5 linked regions of the Daphnia pulex genome follow. The protein of the gene in region 4 binds, or shares a complex with, the protein of the main gene of each other region. Links are inferred from orthologs where the notes say so. Each region holds a gene or a part of one and is shown on either strand. Other genes may lie near its edges. The genes, in order: vesicle transport through interaction with t-SNAREs homolog 1B-like, syntaxin-5-like, vesicle-associated membrane protein 7-like, vesicle transport protein SEC20-like and syntaxin-18-like.

Region 1 (4,090 bases), on a different chromosome or scaffold from region 4:
TAGTAGTAAATAAGGTCATATTGAATTAGAACTAAAATGTTTTTACATTCAGGTCACTTGATCAATGATGTCCCGGAGATGCCTTTGGTTGTGTCGGACAAGGTTCAAGAATACAAAAAAACCAAACAGGCCGTCGTGTTGTTGCGCCGTCTTCGCGCATGGACTGATGTCCAGAAGGTTTGTTTCTAGATATTTATGTATAATTATCACGGGAAAATGATGAGTTGCTTCTTGGTCTGTGTTTATGAGTAAATGATTTCACCTTAGAGCTCTGAACAAAATCTGAGTCATGAATGATTTTATGTGTGAACACCGTCTAATTAATCTGATTTCTTACAGGTTTACAAGACCAGGCGTTTCCGCGCAGGTAAGGGTAAGATGCGCAACCGTCGCCGTACCAGCAAATTGGGTCCACTGGTCATCTATGGCAGAGATCAGGGTTTGACCAAGGCTTTCCGTAACATCCCCGGAGTTTCTATGATTTCAGTAAACAAACTGAACCTCATGAAGCTTGCTCCTGGTGGTCATGTTGGCCGTTTCTGCATCTGGACCGAGTCTGCTTTCCAACGCTTGAACGCCCTCTACGGTACTTGGCGTCAGAAGTCTAAGCTGAAGAGCAACTACAACTTGCCTCAGCCCATCATGACCGGAACAGATTTGTCTCGTTTGTTGAAGTCTGATGAAATCCAGAAGGTTATCAGACGACCAAGGCAAGCTTTCTTTTTAATCTTTATTATTGATTAATTAATGATGAAAACCACATTTAGAGCATTGGGTTATGAATCTTTGTGATTAGCAAATTAATCTGAACGCAGTTTATCATTCAAGTGATACTGTCTGGTGCAAAGATGACTAATCGATACAATTTAAATTACAGGAAGATGATCCGTCGTGCATCTGTTAAGCGCAATCCTCTTACCAACATGAGAGCATTGATGAAGTTGAACCCGTACTCCGCCGTGATTAAGAAGTCTGCCGCTGCTGTTGCTGAGGCCCGGAAGAAGAGCAAGACTGCTTTGCTCGAGAAGAAGCGCGAGGTAATTTTGTTTTCTGTGAATGTTTGTATGTCTTAGATAGTTTTTCGTTTGATTTCTGTTTGAATTGTTAAAATTGTATTACCGCATGTGAACGTAACTTAATGCATGCCACATTGTTTAACATGTACAGGCGAGTGCTACCAAGAAGGTAGCTGCCTAGCCTGCGAGTGAGCGCACACAGCATGGTTTATTGAGCTAATCAACAGATGTTTTTGGTGAGTTGTCCATCGTAGTGAGAATCTGATTTGGAAAATAGTCCAAGTTCTAATTTGTATATCCATTCTACAGTCAGTAGTACCCGTACCAAATTTACCTGTTGAAAAGCCGAAAGAAGAAGCGCCCGTTCAAGCACCGGTCCAAGATGTCAAACCAACTCAACCTCCTCCTGTTGAAACCCCTAAGCCAACACCACCAGAAACAAAGAAAAGCAAGAAATCCAAGACGGCTGCAAAGGATTTGCAAGTAGAACCGATGGATGTAACACCCGCGTCCGTTGTTGAGGTGAAGACTGCCCTAGCTCCAGCTAAGGAACCATCTCCGCCAATCGTTACCATCCCTGAACCTGTAGTTAAGGTGGTAACACCAGTCGCTACTCCTGTAAAAGGAAAATCGCCACCAGTCGTTCCTGCCCCAACACCGATTGCTGTCCCGGAAGTGAAGCCGTTGGAAAAGGTTCTTGCTGCTCCCGTTGAAGCTATCCCATTAGAAGAAGCTTCTGTTCCCGAATCAGCTGCTGATAAGGGATCGAAAGCCAAGAAAGCAAAGGGGAAGAAAAATAAGAAGGAATGAGTGACATCATTGAACCTGTGCCTGTATGACGTTTTTTCTGTGACATCTGAATAAACCTTCTGCAGGCTGAAATGTGTTTAATTTATCTTAATAATTAGCTATTAAATGTAAATGTCATGGAAATGCTAATTCTCGCCGTTTGTGGCGCTGTCTTCAATGTTTTGTCAGATGGTGTTTTATACGTCAAGTCTACAATACATTCCTTGTCTTCGTCCTGATAGCAAGGTATCGTATGTAGTGCTCAAATAGGTTCAGAATTGTGCTACAAGAAACAGAAATGAGCTCAGAGAAATTTGAAACTCTGGATGAAGATGTACAAGTTTTGTTCGAAATTCTGCAAAGAAAGTGTTCCGGTAAGCTAGAACAATGTTTTGGCGAAGAAAAAAAGCAAGTTATTGCCGATGTCGAAAGAGGACTAGATGAAGCTAAACAAGCAATATTTGAAATGGAAGCTGAAGCTAGAGCAGCTCCTGGCTCTTTTAGGATGGACATGATTGGCAGGTAAAAATGTGAATGTCTTAAGTTTACACAGCAAACAATACATGTAGTAAAATTTCAACTAATGTTTTTTTTATCATCCAACTTCAGAGTACGAAGACATCAGGACACCTGTTCCAAACTTGCTCTATTGATCAATTCTTCCAAGCAATCAGAAATGTCTCTGGCCTCATCAAGAGGAAAACTGTTGGAAAACCAATCCACTGCTGCATTTAGCCAAAACCGGGGCATTGATAATGCTCTTCAAACAACTGTTCGCCAAGGAACTGCAGTTCTGGAAAGAACATCACAGAGCCTCTACAGAACTACTCAGGTTGCTTTAGAAAGTGAAGAGATTGGCACTGGAGTTATTCAAGAATTAAGTCAACAAAGAGAAGTGCTTGTTCGTACAAGAGATAGATTGACTGAAACGGATGCAGAGCTGGGAAGAAGTAGAAGAATCCTTAAGTCAATGTCTCGTGTTGCTATGACTAATAAGCTTGTCCTAATTGTCATCATTCTGTTGGAGATATGCATTTTGACAGGTTTAGTTTATTATAAATTTTTTTCTTGAAATTATTGTCCTCAAATTCTTAACATACCTCATCAAAAATGTAACTAATAGTGTTAGTGCCTTGAATTTGTGTAAAAGCCGATACAAAAATATAATCATGCGCATAGCGACCAGTATTTTTTTCCCCTTGCGTGCGCAAAGGATTTCCTAGCGGCCTTCGTACGCAGACGGAGTTACGAACCCAACCTCTGGCTTTCAGTTCCATTTGACAGAAGCTCTTCCTGTGTCATGGCGTGCTATACGTGTATTTAAAGTTTTTGCGTTTGCCAACGAAATCTGAGATTTTTCTAAGTTGTTCGTGCTTCGACATCGACAGTTAAAATGGGGTAAGTTGTGCATTTATTGATTCTGTATAGTCTTAAATGAAAAATCGATTCGTACCATATATCCACGTAGCAACAGCTGGATGCTGAGCACCACTGTCAAGTCTGAATTCAAATTTACTGTAATTAAAAGGGTATATGTTTCAAATATTTGTATTTTGGACTATGGAATTAGACAAATAAGAATTTTCCATTAGGGTGTATAAATACCATTAAGCTAAAGTGTAAATCAATATTGAAGTCACAGACTCACTGAAGTGTCCCGTCATTCAAATGTTAAAAAAGATTTTATTAATATCTTGGCTGTAAATATAGCATTCATATTTTCAAACTAATAAGCTAAGCTGCATCCAAGTTTTCAACCTGTACTAAATTCTAAAGTTGTATTGAGCTAAACTTCGAAGCTGAATGACTTGTGCCTCTAGCTACAGCCCAGAAGGATTGTTGCGAAATGTTATTCTCAACTCAAGCAATAGATTGTTGCTTTAGGTGATACATCAAAGTAATATTTCATCCAGCCAGAAAACTCTTGATATTGCTAGGATGCTAGGCCCACTGTTAGTGGGATTTTAGTCACACAATATTGATTTACTTTGAAACATGCAAGCCCCATTCAGACAATTCCAAAAGCACAAACATTCAACAATGATAATGGGAAATAGAAATTTGTGGACTTTGTGTATTCAGTTGTAAGAAATCGATGCTGCGTGTCCTGTGTCTAATTCCTAGATGGCTACTTCGAACCCTTTCCCTTATTTTTCATGGTATTTATTAGTTAATGCTATTCTCGTCATGTTAACTTTCATCCGTACCTACAGTATTCTCCTTTTTTTTCGTTTGCTCACTACAACGTAAGATATCGCGTGTCGAGTTTCATTTCATTTCACTGC
Region 2 (4,794 bases), on a different chromosome or scaffold from region 4:
TTTTTAAATAATAAAATATTAGGTAATGGCCCAGGGATTACATCGGATTACATTAAATAATTTAAATCAACCAGTAGGTACGTGCACAAAGAAAGAATCGGCCATAACAGTATGAGTGCCTTATATCAAGCTAAAAGTCAAAGCTACCATGTTCCAAATCAAGCTAAAATTTAATCAGCTAAAACTTTCCTTAAAATTAAGAATGTTAATCTGATTGATACTGATACAGTATGGAAACGAGAAGTTCCATTAATTTTTTTATACCAATCTTCTAATTAAAACACCTATTACATATTGCATTCAAGGTATTTCGTATTCATGGTCAACACACAAATAGACCAGCCATAAGGTGCGCGAAACTCGAAAATTTGAAACTCTTAACAATTTGTTTGTTGACGGCGTCCATTGTCGTCTGCTACCAAGACGTTTACACTGCGACGTTTCGCACACACCGATTTCGCAGTTTAGTACGGACCCAAAGACTAAAATGCGAAACAGGGTCTCAACTTTTGGGTCCGTTTCGCACAGCTGTTTCGCATTTTAGGCGTTTCGCGTTTCGCGTTTCGCTTTCGCAGTTTAGGGACGCCCCTCTTCGGAGTAAGAGAGCACACACTCGAAGATTCAGAACTGCGGGCTAGTACTAAACTTTGGGAAAATTGTTGCGGTATTTTTTTAGATCAGAGGGTGATTCTAAACAACCTTTCAAAATACAGCTGACGGAAATGAATGGAATTGGAATGCAATTTAAAAAAATACTAGCTGGCTAGCTATAATATTGAAGATGTCAAATATAGATTAGAATTTATTTATTCTTCTGATATTTTACTATTGAATTTTATTCTTAATACATCACAGTTTATAACTTCATCATGAAAATCACCAGAAGTCTGCTGGGCAACATTTTCGTCAGAGGGCACATCTACATTCGTTAATCAAGCACAATGGAGAAACGAACCGTGAGTTTTAAATTCATTAGGATCGAAAATTGTATTGGTAAATGAATTGGAAATCGTACTTTAGATAATTTTCAAGCAAAAAAGATGGCGAATATTACAACAAACACAAGGACAACCCCAAAGACTTTTAGCATCAGCCACCTATTAGAAGAGACGGAACGAAAGTAACGCAAGAGTTCGTCATGAGCGGCTTCCACATTAAGTTGGGCATCGTCGACATTCGAGTCAATCCTACACGAAGAAAAATATTTCCATAAATTCTTTGTTATAACATATTCTAAAATAATTAATATTATTACCGCTGAACCATTTCTTCTTGTTCGCGAACCATGAGAGCCAGTTGCTGGAAAATTCCGCCCAACTCCACGATAGTGGATTCTATACTTTGGACTGCGTCAGAACGACTTTGCAGGTAAGATTCTGTTTCGTCGGCAAACACTTGCTGCTGAATTTGATTCCTGTTGGTTCTGTTGTCAGCGGCACCCATGTCGATAGCTACTGCTTCTCCTCCATGGGCTTGATAGGCAGCATCACGGAGTAGAACAGATCCTTTAGAACCATTTTGAGAGGATCCAAACGGTCCTCCTGTCAAGGCTGCAGCCGGTAAATCAGAAACGACTGGGACGGAGCCAGAAAACTGTTCTCGACGGCTTCTCTGGGCTTTAAGATTCTAAAATATTTTCAAAACATTCATTTTACTGAATATCCTAGATAATAAAATCTAGTAGTTATTTTTTAAACTAGGAAAGGCGTGTACCTCAGTGCGGACTTCAAGGACTTGTTTGAATTCAGAAGACATATTGGCTAGCTTCGACTGAAGAGCTACAACGACATTTGCTGAATGGGCCTTGGTATTTTGTTGTTGATTCTGTTGCTTTTTCATGAATCCTTGCAGATGAGCAATCTGTTTGTTCAGATTTGTGATATCTTCACGGATGATGTAAGTCAGTTCTTGGATCTCTTGAGGACGATCATCAAATAGCGTTCGTTTTTTCGCCACTGCAAGCATAAATGTGAAACCATGAAATGATTGGTTGAACAGTAGAAATTAAAAACAAAGCTAATTACATAGAGTTAGTTTTTCCAGTTTTGCATATGTGTTGCTCAAATCCTTACTAATAACTCTGTACAGAAAAAAATTTGAATATTTTCAATAGTTGCAAATATTTTCTTAAAAGTCGACAACTTACTTTGCCACTTTCATGAATTCAGAGTACTGTTGATGTTGATCTGTATTCTTAGATGGATGTGATTGACTCGGCCTCCCAACTACTCCGTTAACTGGCCTACTCTGGAAGCTTCTGACTGCAGAGAGAAACTCTGCAGTCCGATCACGTGAAGAAGCATTGGTGGAAGACAGAACTGATGAACTCGAATTAGATGCTAGGGCCATCATGTCAGCGCTGTTGGTTTTTGCTTGAACATCTACAAATTTATCTGTTGAATAATTTGGTGCAACAAATGCACCTATTTCACCCTGCGGAACAATGAAAAAGGATGGCTGCTGTTGAGGACTTTCTCCCGACCACAGTAAAACGGATGAAGAGCCTTTCAGGACTTGGTTTTGCAGTTGGGTTTCAGCAAGCGGCTGATGCTCCGATTCAGAGCCTTGCCGGCGTCTTCGAGTAATCATCCGTCAAAAATTTATCTCTCGAAAAATTCATCCGTTTTCGTCTTTGAAATCCAAATAATCGGGAACGCCAGATATTTTGCGACAAGAAACTATACCGAATGCCACGTCATATTAAGGGTTGTCTGCAGAGTGTGTGCAGACGAAAAAATACCAAACATTAGCCGTAATTCCCAACGTTGCCAACGTTAATTATCTACTGTATAAAGTTCAATATTTATCATTTTATTTTAACCTTTATCCAGCTTTATCAATTACTATTATTAATTACTATGTATAGACTTTATCTTTCTACAATGTTGGTTTGCTTTAAATGTCGCAAATTCCTCCTAAGAGAAGTATGACTTACGTACTAGGTTCTCCATCGTTCCCGCGTCATACCAATCAAAATTATGTTTTCATCTCAATTTATTTTTTTTTATTTAGGAAAAGCCGTTTTCATTGCTAGCGAGGGAAGACCAAAACAATATTATAATGCACACTTAGAAAAGTGTACTCATGTGTAATTCTACTGTTGAACACAGAAGTTCCCAAACATTTTTTTTTACATATAAATTTGTAAAGCATTTCTGTTAATTTTATTTTATTTCCTTTCCAAAAATTTTTAACAACCGTCTCAAGATTTACGCTTGATTGCCAAAGCTTACGTAAATCTTCAAATCCCTATAAAACACAAGCAAATAGTATTTGGTTGTACGGAAATAAAATCGTAAATGAAATAATATTGATAACAAACGATTTCTGCATATTATATTTACTAAATATCACTGCCAATTAAATAAGAATAGCAAATTGAGTCGTATTACTCAGAAAGAGACGGCCTGCTCATATTCGAAACAACGATGGAATGTTTAACTGTGGGCCTATAGATATGTAAAGATTGAAGAAACAACAAAGAAAATGATGGCCGGAATTGAATCATTTAAACTTTCTTGGTCGTGGCTGTGCGCTTAACCGTAGTGGACGCGCGCTTAGCAGTTGTAGGTGCGCGCTTGACAGTAGTGGTCCTAGGTCTAGGTGTTGTAGATGCGCGCTTGGCAGTTGTGGGTGCAGGTCCACGCCTAACAGTAGTGGTTCTCGGTTTAGCTGTTGTTCCTGCCCGCTTGACAGTAGTTGTTCTCGGTTTAGCTGTTGTTCCTGCGCGCTTAACCGTTGTCGATGAACGCTTAACAGTCGTAGCAGCACCAGCCATGGGCTTAGCCGTCGTCGATACCTGTTTAACAGTTTTGGGCGTTGTTTTTGAAGCACTCTGCTGGGAATTAGCCAGCGAAATGATGGCTACCACAATAAAAATCTTCACCTATTGAAATCAAACGCATTTTCATTAAATATTTATCAAAGAGTATACACAGTCATAATTTGTTATTGGTAAAATCACTTTCGCCGTGCTTTTGGCCGCTTGGTAGCTTAGAGGCAAGGCTTTAAATACGAATTTTTAAAAATCATTCAGGAAATAGAATACATGAAATACTATTTCAATAAATCGCTGCACTACATCCCAAATGAATTCCATTTAAATTGATTCTACGGCCTATGTCTAAATATAATACAGGTGTAACAGATACAAAGTAAATGTAACAGTGATCATACCAATAAGTACTTCATTGTGTTGAATTTTTCTTCTAGCTGCCGATGAAAAGGAGTTGTTTTCTCGAACGAAGATTACTGGTTACTTGATCAGGAATTACCGAGTCACGCATTAATATAGCCGCGGATGCCCATTTTTTTTTTTTTTTTTGCACTTCCTTCTTCACTTCTAACATTTTTATGTTGTATTGGCGGATAGTTTCAGTCCTTCTTGTTCAGAAAGGATATTTCCTTCGGTGGTCCGAACCACGTAGGAGGATCATCTATCTTTGCCATAAGAATTGTTCTTGTACTGCAATGCTGCGTGACTATTCATTCGTTTTCTAGCGGACAAGCTTTTCCGGTTTAACAACTCCGCGGCTGTCAACATTTGGTAACAAGACAATGAAGAATCAAAAATGCAAAAGCAAAAAAAAAAAAAAGCAAATAAAAAAAACATGAATGTTCAAATTCCAGTTTTTTTCTCAAAGAAAATTAGCATTTTCAAATCAGTTTCAAGCAATCTTCAGTCAGTTTTTAACTTTTTATAATTTTTTTTCTGAATTTCATTCGATCGCTATTGGTTCTACTTTGTTCTAAAAATATTCCCCGTACATTTGGCCAAAGGTAATTGTAAAATTA
Region 3 (4,450 bases), on a different chromosome or scaffold from region 4:
GCTCACCAAAGAACACCACTTTCAGCTCCTCAAAGAAAAACTAAAGAGAGAGCATCGATTGCTAGTGATGCAAGACAAAGATTGGAATCTGCACGGTTCAGGTATTTTTTGTTGTTGTTGACAATATTCCAGCCTATCATAACATTTAATTTCAGGTATCTGAATGAAGAGCTGTATACCAAAAGTAGTAGTGAAGCATGGGAACTTTTCCAAGAAGACCCCCAATCATTTGATATATACCACAAGGGGTTTAAGAACCAGGTTTTGAAATGGCCAGTCAACCCATTGGATATCATCATCACTGATCTTATGAAAGGGTAAAATAAAACAAGCCATGTGCTAAAAAATTGCTTTAATTTAACAAATGAAAATTTTTTTTTTAGTCCTAGAAACTGGGTGATAGCTGATTTTGGTTGTGGTGAAGCTCAGATAGCAAACACCATTCCTAATAAAGTTCACTCTTTTGACCTTGTAGCAGCAAATGACAAAGTTACTGCTTGTGACATGGCTTCTGTTCCTTTGGCAACCAAAGCTGTTGATGTGGTATTTCAGCATTATTTATGCATTATAAATTTTGATCAAACAACAGATATTGCTTGTTCAGGTGGTCTTCTGCTTATCTCTCATGGGTTCCAACATACATGACTTTTTAAAGGAAGCTAATAGAGTCCTTAAAATTGGGTAAATGCTACATACAGATTTTAAAAAATAATAATCTTTATTGATGTAATTTTTAAATTACAGTGGTACTTTGTGTGTAGCTGAAGTTGAAAGCAGATGTAGCAATATTAATGATTTCTTGAAAACAATTGAACGTTTTGGATTCCAACTCAAAGAAAATAACGTTCAAAAATACTTTTTTCTCGCAAAGTTTAGCAAGATTCAAAACATGAGTCCCAAAGCAACTATGCCAAGAATATATTTGAAACCTTGTCTGTACAAAAAACGATGAATAGAAAAGTACACATAAATGTTGAACATCATAACAAAGAAACCGACTCATTATATGTTACGAATGTACAGAAACGTATTTGGTTGAAATAGAATGTTTGTTTTAAAAACTGAAAGAAAAATTAGATCACGCGCAGAATTTGTGCATCAACTATTTTGAATGCATGAATGCCAATTCAATCCTCCACATGCTATGCTAACGACAAAATACACAATAACCTACGGAAAAATAGATATTTTCAATTAGATTTCATTTAAAATATTATTCCGAATTTTAGAATGTAGTTCAGGTCGATAAATGGTAAAAAAAAAAAAATTACGAATGAAATAAAGATAGTTATTTAAACTGTAAAACAATTATAACATACCAAAATCACGGCAGCAGTAATTGCTGTTATTTTTATGTTTTTCCAGAACAAGGAATTAGCCAAATTTCGACTTGATTTCCGGAAAGTAACAGCCTAAAAACAATTTAAAATAACTTACTTGGTAAACCAAAGTAAAATTTAAAAATATCTAAAATATACATACTGACGCGCTGAGGCTTTCGGTTTTATTAACCAGTAATTCTAATCTTTCGCCACGTGCCGCTAAGGAATCTAATAATGAGCAAAATTAAATTAAATGGTATTATGTTACTACTGCTGGAGGTTGCAAATTCTTGCTGGCTCGTATTTACACTTTACCTATATTTTTCACCATTACATCTTTCAAGTCGTCCAATTCTCCTTGAACTTGAGAAACGGTATCGATATCTCGAGATTCAGAAAAGTGTTTCTGGTTTTAAAAAAAAAATCTCAGTAATGTCTGAAATAATTGAGAAGAATTTCACGACTTACCATTAGCCCTGCCAAAATTTTCGAAAACTCCGTGTTCATAGCATATGGTAGAGCAGAGTATGCATGGGCTCCAAAAGTATTTACAAATTTCTTTTTAACTTCATTCAAAAATAAAAATGCTCTTGAACGTTCAAATTCCTAAAATAAAGGTTTCTATTTATATATCATCTTCTACAATTGCAGACAATAAAAAAAAGATTTACATCATCTGAGATGCAAAGATAAATTATTCTGTCTTGCAAAATATAGTGGAACAAAAATGATCCATGAGAGTAGGTCATTTTTGAATCATCAAGTCCAATTTGAGCTAGAACTTGCTCTGTGATCTCAGAAAAGTTTCCAGTACAATTATTGGCAAATCTAGCCAAAACAGTGTTTCCTCTACTAACAACACTATATAACAGCGGCATTTTCCTTCTAAAAAATTAACATATGAGATTATGTAATAAAGACTAAATATTTTTTATGGGTCAACTAATCTCATACCAACAAAACTTTCTCGACGATTCAGACGATCTTCAATCCCATCAATAACTTGACGAACGTGTATAAAAAACTGCAGAGAAACTCACGATGGATTACAGAACTTATGAAGGAGCAGATATTATGACACTCAAAAGACGTTGCTATAGTTTTGGATAGTTGTAGGACGAATATAATTAATTTTTGTAAGTATTAAGGATTAAACAACCTATCTTAAATTATCAAATGACAATCCACTCCAGTCAATGACTCAATGTTGACTATTGTCGGAACCACGTTATAGAGTCTATGGTTTGCTCACTCACTAGAGCAGAGCAATAGATACCTGGTCGGTTCTCGGCCGTGTTGGCTTCCCTATCCCGGTTTCAGGGTAAACGTGGTCCGATTTGGAAAAATTGATGAGCGCCTCTAGTGAGTGTGTCAGGTACTACGTGAAGCCAGCCAATCAGGAAGGGTCTATGAAAAACTCATTGACCAATCACAGCTTACTTTTCTACAAGAAGTGAACAAAATAAAAAGGTAGAAGTATCCAACTGTCAAACCTCTAGGTCTTTTCTAAGTGTCCCAACATTCTTACATTTTATTGTTTGGTTGTGTAAATTGTTTATTCTTTGTAAGTGTCCAAACATTCTTACATTTTATTGTTTGGTTGTGTAAATTGTTTATTGTTCCGTTGACATAATACACTACTTCTTGTTTTGAAAATGTACACTTTTCACATTATAATTTTCATTTGGTAGTCGATCCATCGAAATGCAAAAAATCGTTTGTTTAATTTGATCAAAATACCATGTCCAATTCTTTGGTACCATTGATGAAGTTACTAGTGACTGAAATGTCACAAAATTAGACTTGAAATTAGTAGAGCTTGCTTCCATAGAAGGTGATGTAACTGTCGAATCATCAATGACAACAGCAACATTTTCGTTCATTACATCAGGAAGTGGATCAAAAATTGCTTCTTCAGCAGCCTGGTGAGTGTCCATTGATTCTTGAATAGTAGAGGTAGCTTCCATAGAAGGTGATGCAACTGTCGTATCTTCCATGACAACAGCAAGATTTTCCTTGATTGAATCTGGAAGTGGATCAAAAATTGCTTCTTCAGCAGCCTGGGGAATGTTGATTGATTCTTTAATAATTTCCATGGAGGGTGCTATCAGATAAAATTTAAAGCAATTGCTCTTATAAATAAAATGTAACGAGAACTATTATCAATACCTGTACTGTCAAATTTTTTTCTCTTAGACGTAGTAGGTATTTTGTCTACTTTTGGTCGTTTCCTTACTGATGCATTGCTAGCATTTGTTTCCACTACAATACATATTTAAGAATTGCGTTATTTGATATTAAACAAAATAAACATATTTAAAAATACCATTAAGGTTATTTCTCCATTTGAAACCATCAACATTTTGCATTGCTTGTCGACTAGGTGTATCTAAAATGAAAATGGTTCAGTTTCTGTGCTTTACAGATTATACAGGAAATGTAATATCAATACCATTTATCAGAAAATGTTTGGGAATTGCTCCAGCATTACGATTCCTACGTTTGAAAGGATGGAACACGTTCAAAATTTAAATCCCTGATTTGAAGTCACTTTCGTCAAAATGACGGGAGCAAATACGTGAGGTGCTCGTCAAATAACTACATGGAATTAGTTCTCGCCATTTAGATAATGAAGTTTTAGGAATTGCAAACAGGGTAACCTCGTTTTCTTTTTGATTTCCTTTGAAATATGTTGATTTACAACCAGGAACAGCACACCTGCCAACCATTTTTACAGAAATTATGGTTAGGCTTCATTCACGTAATACACGATAATGGCCGCCGTATTCACATATTACACAAAAATGGCCGCCGAAAGTATTATTTGAAAGTCAACGTCTTATCACTAGATGGCGCTGTTTCATTTTTACCACTTCACAACTTCTGACAAGCTCCGCCCTAAAATGTCTGAAAATCGGGGATACGTTTACCCTAAAACCGGGATAGGGAAGCCAACACGGCCGAGAACCGACCAGGTATCTATTGCTCTGACTAGAGTCACTACAGAAAACCCAAAGAGCTCGGCAGTCGGCACCCCAGCGGCCAAACCATAGCAACTTTCAAACAGCGCCTCTCCTCTAAAGTTTTCTCTACTCTAGTCTACTCTATTAAAACTTTATTGAACTTGC
Region 4 (4,088 bases):
TTTGTTTAAAGGGCCCCATCTTGCCGATGCGCTGATTTCCTCACCAGTCATTCAAGGAGAAGATGGTACAGGAGCGGTTGGAATGGGGGCTGGAGGTTTTGAATTTGTCGATCCTAATGAAGATCCTGAATTAGCTCTCGTAAGTGTTATCACTATTTAAATAGTTTATTATTTCATTTTAAAATTATTTTCTTATTAAAGGCGTTACGAGTGTCGATGGAGGAGCAGCGTCAGCGTCAAGAGGACGAAGCTCGTCGTTCGGGAAATCCGCCGGCTACAGAGCCCGCTGCAGCTACCACTATTGGCGGTGCCCCTGCTTCCAACGAAGATGCTATGCTCGAGCGTGCGTTGGCTATGTCTATGGATCAACCAAGTGTCAATACAACTGTAGCCAGTGCCGCCCCTGCAGCACCCGTTTATCCCGATTTCGCAACAATGACTGAAGAGGAACAAATTGCATATGCAATGCAAATGTCCATGGCAGAAGCTCGTAAGTTCTTTGTAAGGTGATATGTTGTTGCGGTTTGTAGACTAATAATTTAATATAAAATTCAGAGGGACCAGTAAAAACGGAAACCGAAGCTATGGAAGTAGAACCAACGCCAGCAGCTGCGGCTAGTGATGATTATGATGAAGTTATGAAAGATCCCGAATTTCTTCAGAGTGTCCTAGAAACGCTTCCAGGTGTTGATCCTTCAAGTGATGCTGTACAATCTGCCGTCGACGCTTTGCGAAACCAAGATAAAGACAAAAAGCAAGGCAAAAAGCCTGACTCCAAGTAAACAGATTGATTTCTTACGCGTCGCGAATGTTTGAATCCGGAATAAATTGATTTTCATCTGTTCATTACGTCTGCATTTAATGTAATGCGGAAGGTGTTTTGTTCGGTTGGCACATAACTGCGTAATTGATTATTCTAGGATGTTTTCGTATTTTTCTGAACTGAATAAAGAAACTCAAAAAATCTTGATGTACAAATTTATCTCTAGAACATGCGCTTTTGAATGACATATACACAAGCTGCAAAGAATGCAGCCAAAGCTAGAATAATTAAAATCAAATCGGTCGTCTCTCTCCGTCCAAACCGGGAGACCAACTTTTTTGTGGTTGTTAAGGCGCTTCCCATAACTTTAAACTCATCCTGATTGTCACTCACAGCATGTGATGATTGAGCTACACAATATATTAATTTATAGTATTGATTAAATTTAAAAAAAAATGGATTAATTGTTCATACCAAGTACTTCTAGAGTTCCTCTATTTTGCTCCAGAACACTAGCCATGGATTGACTTATACTTCTCAAATTGGCAGTCACATTGGTTGACATTTTGATAAGTTCCTCTTTTGATTTAGTTTGTCTACAAATTTAACATAAATTCAAATAAGCCAACAAGACAGAAATCAAATTCATAAAGTTACCTGGATCTTACTTCCATATCTTCAGGATTACTGTAAAAGAGTTCAGCTTTGTTTTTTAAACTGACAGTTAGTTGGCACTGTACATTAGCTTTCCTGGAAAGATGAAAGAAAATAATGCATTAAAACATGAAAACTTACAAACTATTACCGAAATGCACTTTGGAGACTTTTCAATTGATTTTTGAAGAGATTGACATCTTCAGATAGTTCTCCATCCTCATCTTCATCTTTGGAAATTTTTTCAAACTCATCGATACAATTTTTAAGTTTTCTAAATTCTGACCGATATTCTGAGTTCAACACCACAATATCAGCTTCTGTAATATCTGTCTTTTGTATTTGCTTTACAGAAAAAGTGTGGATGATTAATAGCAATCCGATTACATTAATATAATTTAATATTTGCATTACATACATGCAGAATGGTTTGTATGGTCAAATTTCCTTTAAGAATGTCATTTTTCAAAGATTCTATTTCACTACCTTCAGAATTTTTCATTGTATTTTAATATTTGGGGTAAAATGCACGAAACTGCCTATTTATCGCTATTCGCTACACTGACAGATTCACAGCAGATGGTTTGTTGTGATGTGTGCCACGTTGCCCAAGAAAGAAAAAATTGCATCATTCCAAAAGAAGTACTTTTTTATTGCGTAAAAATAATTAAAACGATTAGAATCTTTGTTTCTAATGTAATAAGAAAGTTTCGTCATAATTTCTAAGCTGTTTAGAAAACTTGGAGACAGAGTGCTGGCTGCTGGAGGTCATTCAAGGTAAATCGGTTCTTTTAATGGCGCATAGTATAGTGATAAGCAAAACAAACGCTTCCTTTTTGGACCGCTGGGAAGTGTACTTGTAATGCTGACGAAAGTGGAATAGAATAGAAAGAAGTGAAAGAATAGAGGTTTCGGTTTGTTCTACTGGCAGAGTTCTTTTTAAAAAATTGTGGAATTGGCCTATAGAGAAGAGCAGTTACAGTTTGGACGTGCATTGTGATGTGTAGCTTGTTTAATCTGTGGTGATCTACTCAATCTAGATGAAATGATACCTCGGACAGCCTAGTTACTACAGTTCATTTCGCGCCCAGTTTGTGTTGTGTTCAAGTCGATCCCTTGTCGACCCATCTTTGATGCCAAGTGAAAAGTAGCTTACAAATACCGTAGTATAAATAGTACCTTTGGAAATCAACAAAAAGTATAAATATTGCGCACAAAACTGTGTCGCATTTGGCAAAGCCCATTCGGCAGTTTTAATTTTAGTGTCGTAGCTTTGTTATTCTCGAGTAAACCACAACAACAAACACATTTTAGCTCCCTTCGCTCGTACTGGTGGTCGCTAAATTTTAGGTCTCCTTGGGCTTTAACTAGTCTATATTTTGAAGATGGCCATAGTCATTCAACAGCAGCGTCAAAACAAACGCCATAAAACAAAATCCATCGGGAGCCCCGTAAGTATATTTCATCACATTTTGTGAAAGGGAAACCGCTATACACAGTCCTTTGTTGTCACATGACGTCAGCATGATATCCGTTATGTTCTATAGTCGTGTTCAGACTTGTTCAGATTTCTTTTTTTCTTCTTCAAACCCCAATTCTTTTGTTTACCGTGTTCTAAACGACCAACAGTGGGGCAGGTTTCCCTAAAATTTTTATAAGAGTGCAGTGAAAGTAAACACTGAATTTTACTATTTTTTCTGACCCAGATAACAAGACTGTAGAGTGCCCAATAAATAAGATGCACTTTCTTTTTCTATTTATTTACGACTTTATTGTGATGATCTCTTTTTAAAAAAAGGACCCTATGGATGCATTTTTGGGGTTGTACGACAATGGATCGGATTCAGACGATGACGAATGGATTTCTCAGCTCGAAATAGGTGATCCTCTGGCCAGTAACAGCAACCAAAAGAAGAATCTACCACCAGAACCGCAATCCGGCAATATTGAATATAAACTTAAATTAGTGAACCCTTCGGAGCAACGGATCCAGCATCTTGTCACGCAGGTATTACTAACGCTAGTATATCACGGATGTGCACTCATCCATTTTTTAAATAAGCAATTAGTTAAAGAATGTTTTCAGTTGTAATTAAAAATTCATGCGGAGAAAAACCCGCCATAACTCTTCCCGCTTGTAGTAATAAGCAAAACAAGAGATTAAATCTTACTGCATAATTGTATCATTAATCTTTTAGTCAAAACCCAGTCATTAAGGCTGTATATGGTAAGGTAAGCAGTTTAGAGAAATATGGTTCAATGCACTTTTGGGACCCGGTCATTTGAAACACGTTTTGATGACGTTTGTGATTATTTTGCATGACGTCATTTTTTATTTAGATTACACGTGGAAAGTTTGAAAACGACATCTAGTGCTTTCAAATTCAAGTTACAGATTCCAGGAATTTCGCAGCATTGTACTTTGAAAGTATATATTCTTTTTAGGGTGCTTTTGGTCTAGACCTTAAGTAATAAATAGCCCACAGGGACGGTAGCCAAAAGTGATTCATTATCATACCAAGGGCATTAATCAATATTCCGATGTTCTTTACGATTTTGATGCACGCTTTATGATGAATGATGGATTGATTTTGATTTGCATAACTAAAGAATTCTTCCTTTCGGTGGCTGCGCAGATGAAATGGCGTCTACGTGAGGGTCAAGGTGAAGC
Region 5 (5,297 bases), on a different chromosome or scaffold from region 4:
ACTTAATTGTTTGAAAATATAAAATTATTATTATTTTGTTGGTATTCTAGCCTTTTCCTGGATAATAAAATTTAAGTTTCTGCCATTTTGTCGCTGTCGAAACGAATAAAAATGTACAAACACGTGTTGAAGATGTATACTCTGGGTTTTCAATCTCGAAAGAATTTGTTAATTGCTGAGTTACATGACAAATGACGTAATAACTTTTGTATTTAGAATTAACAAAATTTCACCGATTTCAAACTTAACCTTTCATATTCCAAGATATATGAGCAACACTGCAAGAGAGCATTAACAATTGTTGTTTCCTTGATTGCTGATGCTCTATTGATTGAACAGAAAACAAAAAATAAATGAGAAAGAAGTTGGGGGATTATTTTTCGTATTCCTAATTCAGATACATGCCATAGAGGGGGACTGCTAACAGAAGAATTTGTTGATTACATTCAATCTTTTGCCTTGGAAAATTCGATCAAAACTTATTCATTTTGATTGCAAACAAGTTTGTGTTGGGGCCAGTGTGAACGCTGACAATCCTTGCTACAATAGAAGATTGAATTGCAGCGAGCGCAACGCTTTAGATTTTGAGACATTTTCTTGCAGCCAGCACAGCAGTTTTCGGCAACGAAGTATTCAATCACTTTAAACTGTTTGAATCACAGAGATGAGAAGTTATTTATTAACATTAATTTGTTGAAATTTGGATGAATGAAACGCATTATTTTACCTGTCTCTGTCCTGTTCTCTCTGAAATTGCTAGCTTGCAACTGGCCGCGTCCCATGTCATCATGTATGGATACATATACTCTGATGAGGGTATAATGTATATGCTCTTCCAACTCTGAAAATTCATTTAAAAAAGAAATTGCGGGAAAAGAATGTACGTGAGTCGCGTTTGATCCAACTAAGAATTTCTATCAAAAATATTTTACCTTTGTAGACCAAATAATCACTTTCTTGTAATAGTCTGTTGTTGCGAGATAGCGTCCGTCAGGTGAAAGTATTAATTGATGGATCTGATCATGTCCTGTAAGTTTTCGTGTCTGAATTTCATGATCAAATGGATACCAAATTACAACGTTTCCACTTTCTAATCCGCTGAATAAAAGCCAATTAAAAAGCTGTGGTTATTAGAATGTCAATTTAAACTTGCATCTTTTAAAACTTGATTAAAATAATCTAGGCAGTCTAACCATGCAATAAAAGTTTTTGTCGTCATCTCTTCTTTGATGCCAGAATTCCATACCAAATTTCTGCAATTGGAATCGACATCCAACACAAGAATAGGATCTTTACTGCCCAATGACCAAATCTGCAATTAAAATTGTTTAAATATTGACTCATTTAAATTTAAAAACTTAGACAATAATAATTGTCTATCGACTATTAAAATCCAATAAATATAACGTATGTAGTTCTAATACCTTGACTCGAAAGTCTGTTCCACCTGAAGCCAAAAGTTCAAATTCTTTGTTAATGGCGATACTCGATACGAAAGTTCGTGTTTGGCCCTGGTAGTTCATAAGCGAAAAATTGTCCCTGGAATTCATAAGCGAAAAATGGTGAACAGCTTTGTCATGATCACCCAGATCGTGACGGATTTTCTGGACCATTCGGCTTTTCATTTGACTGTTATTCAATTCTATTTCGTGAATTTCAAACGTTCCATCGTCGTAACCAAAGGCGAGTTGATTGTGCGAGTTCCAGGCCAGGGTCTGACAGTTCCATTTTGATTTGATGGTGTGGGTGAGGAGGTTTTCAGCTGCTGAATTGGCAATCATCACCTCGTTTGTGTCCAACTTGAGATACAATTTTAAAACTTAAAATTTCTGGTGAACAATAAATTAATGTGAATGTTTCTCGTGTACACCGACTTTTAATTTGAAATTCTCCCTTCCCGCATTACTTAAACAAACTACTAAGTTAGCACATGAATATTGTTTTTTTTTTTTCACTTACCGCACTGTTATAACTAGCCAACATGTCCCGGTTAAATGGATGCCAAAAAATTAACGGGAAATTCGATCGTCCATTTCTTCGGAATGTTTGTTTGCCACAGCCTGGATAAGACACAATAATGACAGTCCCATTATCGGAGCCAGCAGCTACTTTAGTTCCATTGACCTTTACGCCAAACAGAAAAACAAAAATAGAAACTTAGGATTAACACTGTAACATTTAGCACACGATTTTGATGGGGTGAAACACGGACACAATTATTTGATTCACAGACTTACGTTCCATTGGACGGATAAAATTGTCCTTTCGTATCGGCTGTATACGGGTTCAATCTCCCAATTCTCAAACGGTGTGGAGTGATTAGTTCCCCGAAGGAAAACTAATCCTCCTTGAACTAAGCCGCACGCCAGAACAGGATCGATGGGGTGGAAACTGGAACTTCTCACATCTAGTTTACTCGTAATTGAGAACTCAACTGGTTTGAAAAAACCTGGATGGGACATCAGACATTGATTAAAAACGATGGACAAGTTTATAAATATTTGTCTTACCTTTCCCTGGTGAGTTTACAGCATCTGTCATTTTCTCTCTCCTTAGTGACGAACGGAAGTGTAAAACCACGTTTAGAAGTAGCGAACTAAAATGAACGAAACATTATTTTACAGCGTTAAAGCTGGAATATCCATAGAGTTTAGAATCTTAAAAATTTCACCGATGCGCAGATAGATGAGTAATATTTAAAGAGACTGGCAGCACGATGCCTCGAAGAATGTTGAAACTGAAGTGGCAATTAAAGAAGATGGAACTGGAAAAGTAAAACTGAAAAACAAAAGAGAAACGTTCAAGGGGGTAAGAAGGGGGTGGATTTGAACGGGGTCGTAGGAAAATTTACCTTGACTTTTTCTGTCTGGAATCTTTTTTGTTTTTCAAACTTGTCTCGAGGTTGCTAAAATAGCTGTAATTTTCGATACGCAACTGCATTTTGACTAATCCTTTGACAAAAATCTTTTCTCACTCCCCTTACCTCACACCATACGACTTTCCTCTCCACACCCACTATATTTTTTTTACCCACTGAAATAACCCCAAAAGAAAGTAAACTTGAAAAACTCGTGTCTTTTCATTTTCCCGACAACTTAATTGATTTCAATTATCTTTCAACAACCAATGATACATTATAACAACTTTCTCAGAGTCCATTGATAGGCATCTCTTTTGCCGATATCACGGTATTTTGTTTATCTAATCCGTTCACTCACATCACGAGCGTGATTGCTTTTCAATTCTAGCTGTCTAAAACTCTTTCAACTTGGCCACATTTGAGACAATCTCTTTGGCTTTCGTTTGGAATTTTGAAAAATGTTTGGATGGTCGTGGGAAAATGCAATTTGGGTCTTCAGTTTTCAGCTAGCTTTATTGCGTGTCCGGACCGTCTTGATGGAGACCTTGAACAGGGACGTGATATCCATCATGATCGGTGTTTCCAACAACAAATATTTTGATTTGAATAAGTAATGTATATTCTTTATAATTTATTTGTTTAACTTACCGTTTGACAATGATTTTTGAGCAAAAATCTGCCAACACTCAACAGCCGTTCTATTTTTCAAACGTCCTCGTCGTCAGTTTGTTGTGGAACTTAGTCCGCCATCTACCAGTCGTTTGCCAAGTTCGTTGCAATGTATTTTTTTCTTTGGCGCCATTCCCATGAACGACGAGCTATTCGTCTTCGAGAGCACACCATTACTGCCATTACTTCACAAGTTCACTGAACAGTGAACAATGTTCGAAAGTGTGCATCCATCGTCTTCATTTGTGTTGAGCAGCGTGATATTACTTTAAAGATTGTACTGTTCATTGTGATTCCTTTGCAAAATCTGTGACCAACATTTTCGGTGGTGAATTGAATCTGCACCAGGCTGGAAGTGACACACATGCTGATGAGGTAAACATCCCTTTGTCTGCAGTATTTGTACGAAAAATATGGCGCCTGACTTATTCTAGAATTGTAACGTGTTGGGTACTTGATGAAAGGTAACTATTTGTGAACTGTTTCACTAAATGACAATATCAACTATGGCACGAAAGGATTGTAGGAGGGTTTTGCACCATGCAGTGCCAGTCAGTTTATATCTTTTTTCGACAGACATCAGAATATGCATCCCATGAGGTTTCTTTTCATGGTGAGTCTACATTGCTTCCTCGTGAAAGTTTATTTTATTATTTTTACGTTGTTGGTGGATATTACTTTTGTTGTTTGTTTTATTTGAGCAGGTTTAGTTTGAGAGTTTTGGGCTTGGGCACCGGTGGTGAAACCCTGATGGTGGTAAAAGGTGTCATGATCTGTTCCCAGTTCTAAACACCTTGCGAGAAATTTAAGACATCCAGTCTTTCACTCGTTTTACCTTCAAATTTACCTTGGTGGACCAGATAACCAATTTTCCTTCATAGCCGGTCGATGCCAGAAAGCGTCTGTTTGGCGAAAATAAGATTTTATGCAAATCGTGGGAATGTCAATCGAAAAACAAACTTGGTTGTATTTCCTTTTCCGTTGGCGACCAAACAAAAATTGATCCGTTATCTAACCCTCTGAAAAAAGATCAGAAAAAGGCGATTGAGCTCTTACGCTTAATTAAATAATCGATTTGGGACACTGGGATATTAGATGAATGAAATCTGACCCGACTAAAAAAGGTTTTTCCTTCGCTCTTTGCACGATTACGCTGGATGGGAATTGGACTCCAAATTTATTCGCAACAAGAAGAACTGGATTCTATCATGCGTATGGGATATTGGGATCCTCTCTTTCCAATTACCAATTCTGCGTTCAATTATTTGAAAGTGAAGGAGTTAAACATTCAATTCTAAATAACCATTTAAATTCTGGGACACACCTTGATCCAAATATCGTCTGAACTGGTGACCAACAGTTTTAATTCTTCGTTCCAGACAATACTCGATACATTATATCCAAAATCTCCTTCTGACAAACTGTATGGGTCTTACGAGTGAGAGTCGGGCACTCACCAAACGTTTCTTGAATAGTTTGCTAGTTGACGTATCGTTTAGTTCTATTTCGTTTAATATCAGCCGTTTCCTAATCATAGCTACAAATGAGCGAATCCAATTCAACCCAGACTTAAATGGGTATTCGGTTTATTATGTTAATCTCTCAAGGAAGTTTTGAAACATGCTTATTAAACTATTATTTTATTTTGACAGAACTTCATCCAGGCGTCATCACCGGAATGACGAAATTCTTGGCATTCGTCACTCCAGTCGTTGGATGGATGGATTACCTTCTAGACCCCAATACTTAACCGGATTCGCTTTTAATG

Evidence for each region.
Region 1: vesicle transport protein SEC20-like (region 4) and vesicle transport through interaction with t-SNAREs homolog 1B-like share a complex: the UniProt entries of both Homo sapiens proteins name them as parts of the SNARE complex. The link is inferred for Daphnia pulex from reciprocal best matches to the Homo sapiens genes BNIP1 and VTI1B.
Region 2: vesicle transport protein SEC20-like (region 4) and syntaxin-5-like share a complex: the UniProt entries of both Homo sapiens proteins name them as parts of the SNARE complex. The link is inferred for Daphnia pulex from reciprocal best matches to the Homo sapiens genes BNIP1 and STX5.
Region 3: vesicle transport protein SEC20-like (region 4) and vesicle-associated membrane protein 7-like share a complex: the UniProt entries of both Homo sapiens proteins name them as parts of the SNARE complex. The link is inferred for Daphnia pulex from reciprocal best matches to the Homo sapiens genes BNIP1 and VAMP7.
Region 5: vesicle transport protein SEC20-like (region 4) and syntaxin-18-like share a complex: the UniProt entries of both Homo sapiens proteins name them as parts of the SNARE complex. The link is inferred for Daphnia pulex from reciprocal best matches to the Homo sapiens genes BNIP1 and STX18.

Annotation. Positions count from the first base shown.
Region 1 is NC_060018.1:4,117,306-4,121,395, forward strand, and holds vesicle transport through interaction with t-SNAREs homolog 1B-like, read left to right. Parts: upstream 1-1,989; 5' UTR 1,990-2,103; coding exon 2,104-2,327; intron 2,328-2,414; coding exon 2,415-2,877; 3' UTR 2,878-2,987; downstream 2,988-4,090. Other genes in the region: uncharacterized protein LOC124189006, read left to right, coding at 53-177, 340-710, 878-1,037, 1,326-1,826; homer protein homolog 2-like, read left to right, coding at 3,199-3,203. UniProt on the Homo sapiens protein: V-SNARE that mediates vesicle transport pathways through interactions with t-SNAREs on the target membrane. These interactions are proposed to mediate aspects of the specificity of vesicle trafficking and to promote fusion of the lipid bilayers.
Region 2 is NC_060017.1:4,340,755-4,345,548, reverse strand, and holds syntaxin-5-like, read right to left. Parts: upstream 2,744-4,794; 5' UTR 2,590-2,743; coding exon 2,147-2,589; intron 2,081-2,146; coding exon 2,025-2,080; intron 1,956-2,024; coding exon 1,714-1,955; intron 1,627-1,713; coding exon 1,256-1,626; intron 1,188-1,255; coding exon 1,028-1,187; 3' UTR 790-1,027; downstream 1-789. Other genes in the region: proteoglycan 4-like, read right to left, coding at 3,509-3,886, 4,177-4,191. UniProt on the Homo sapiens protein: Mediates endoplasmic reticulum to Golgi transport.
Region 3 is NC_060018.1:6,536,888-6,541,337, reverse strand, and holds vesicle-associated membrane protein 7-like, read right to left. Parts: upstream 2,569-4,450; 5' UTR 2,482-2,568; intron 2,347-2,481; 5' UTR 2,277-2,346; intron 2,208-2,276; 5' UTR 2,201-2,207; coding exon 1,994-2,200; intron 1,929-1,993; coding exon 1,791-1,928; intron 1,729-1,790; coding exon 1,638-1,728; intron 1,551-1,637; coding exon 1,483-1,550; intron 1,413-1,482; coding exon 1,320-1,412; intron 1,171-1,319; coding exon 1,099-1,170; 3' UTR 953-1,098; downstream 1-952. Other genes in the region: ribosomal RNA-processing protein 8-like, read left to right, coding at 1-317, 384-543, 605-681, 745-952; uncharacterized protein LOC124188813, read right to left, coding at 2,960-3,426, 3,492-3,584, 3,649-3,691. UniProt on the Homo sapiens protein: Involved in the targeting and/or fusion of transport vesicles to their target membrane during transport of proteins from the early endosome to the lysosome. Required for heterotypic fusion of late endosomes with lysosomes and homotypic lysosomal fusion.
Region 4 is NC_060020.1:3,407,719-3,411,806, forward strand, and holds vesicle transport protein SEC20-like, read right to left. Parts: upstream 2,171-4,088; 5' UTR 1,920-2,170; coding exon 1,836-1,919; intron 1,763-1,835; coding exon 1,569-1,762; intron 1,514-1,568; coding exon 1,421-1,513; intron 1,360-1,420; coding exon 1,238-1,359; intron 1,174-1,237; coding exon 986-1,173; 3' UTR 967-985; downstream 1-966. Other genes in the region: 26S proteasome non-ATPase regulatory subunit 4-like, read left to right, coding at 12-139, 202-490, 556-782; GTP-binding protein 2-like, read left to right, coding at 2,803-2,868, 3,216-3,425, 4,054-4,088. UniProt on the Homo sapiens protein: As part of a SNARE complex may be involved in endoplasmic reticulum membranes fusion and be required for the maintenance of endoplasmic reticulum organization. Also plays a role in apoptosis.
Region 5 is NC_060027.1:1,471,016-1,476,312, forward strand, and holds the start of syntaxin-18-like, read right to left. Parts: upstream 3,542-5,297; 5' UTR 3,509-3,541; intron 2,799-3,508; exon of another isoform or gene 2,672-2,798; intron 2,597-2,671; exon of another isoform or gene 2,542-2,596; coding exon of another isoform or gene 2,511-2,541; intron 2,450-2,510; coding exon of another isoform or gene 2,238-2,449; intron 2,125-2,237; coding exon of another isoform or gene 1,960-2,124; intron 1,800-1,959; coding exon of another isoform or gene 1,425-1,799; intron 1,313-1,424; coding exon of another isoform or gene 1,194-1,312; intron 1,099-1,193; coding exon of another isoform or gene 933-1,098; intron 842-932; coding exon of another isoform or gene 728-841; intron 648-727; coding exon of another isoform or gene 480-647; exon of another isoform or gene 193-479; intron 1-192. Other genes in the region: F-box-like/WD repeat-containing protein TBL1X, read right to left, coding at 480-647, 728-841, 933-1,098, 1,194-1,312, 1,425-1,799, 1,960-2,124, 2,238-2,449, 2,511-2,541. UniProt on the Homo sapiens protein: Syntaxin that may be involved in targeting and fusion of Golgi-derived retrograde transport vesicles with the ER.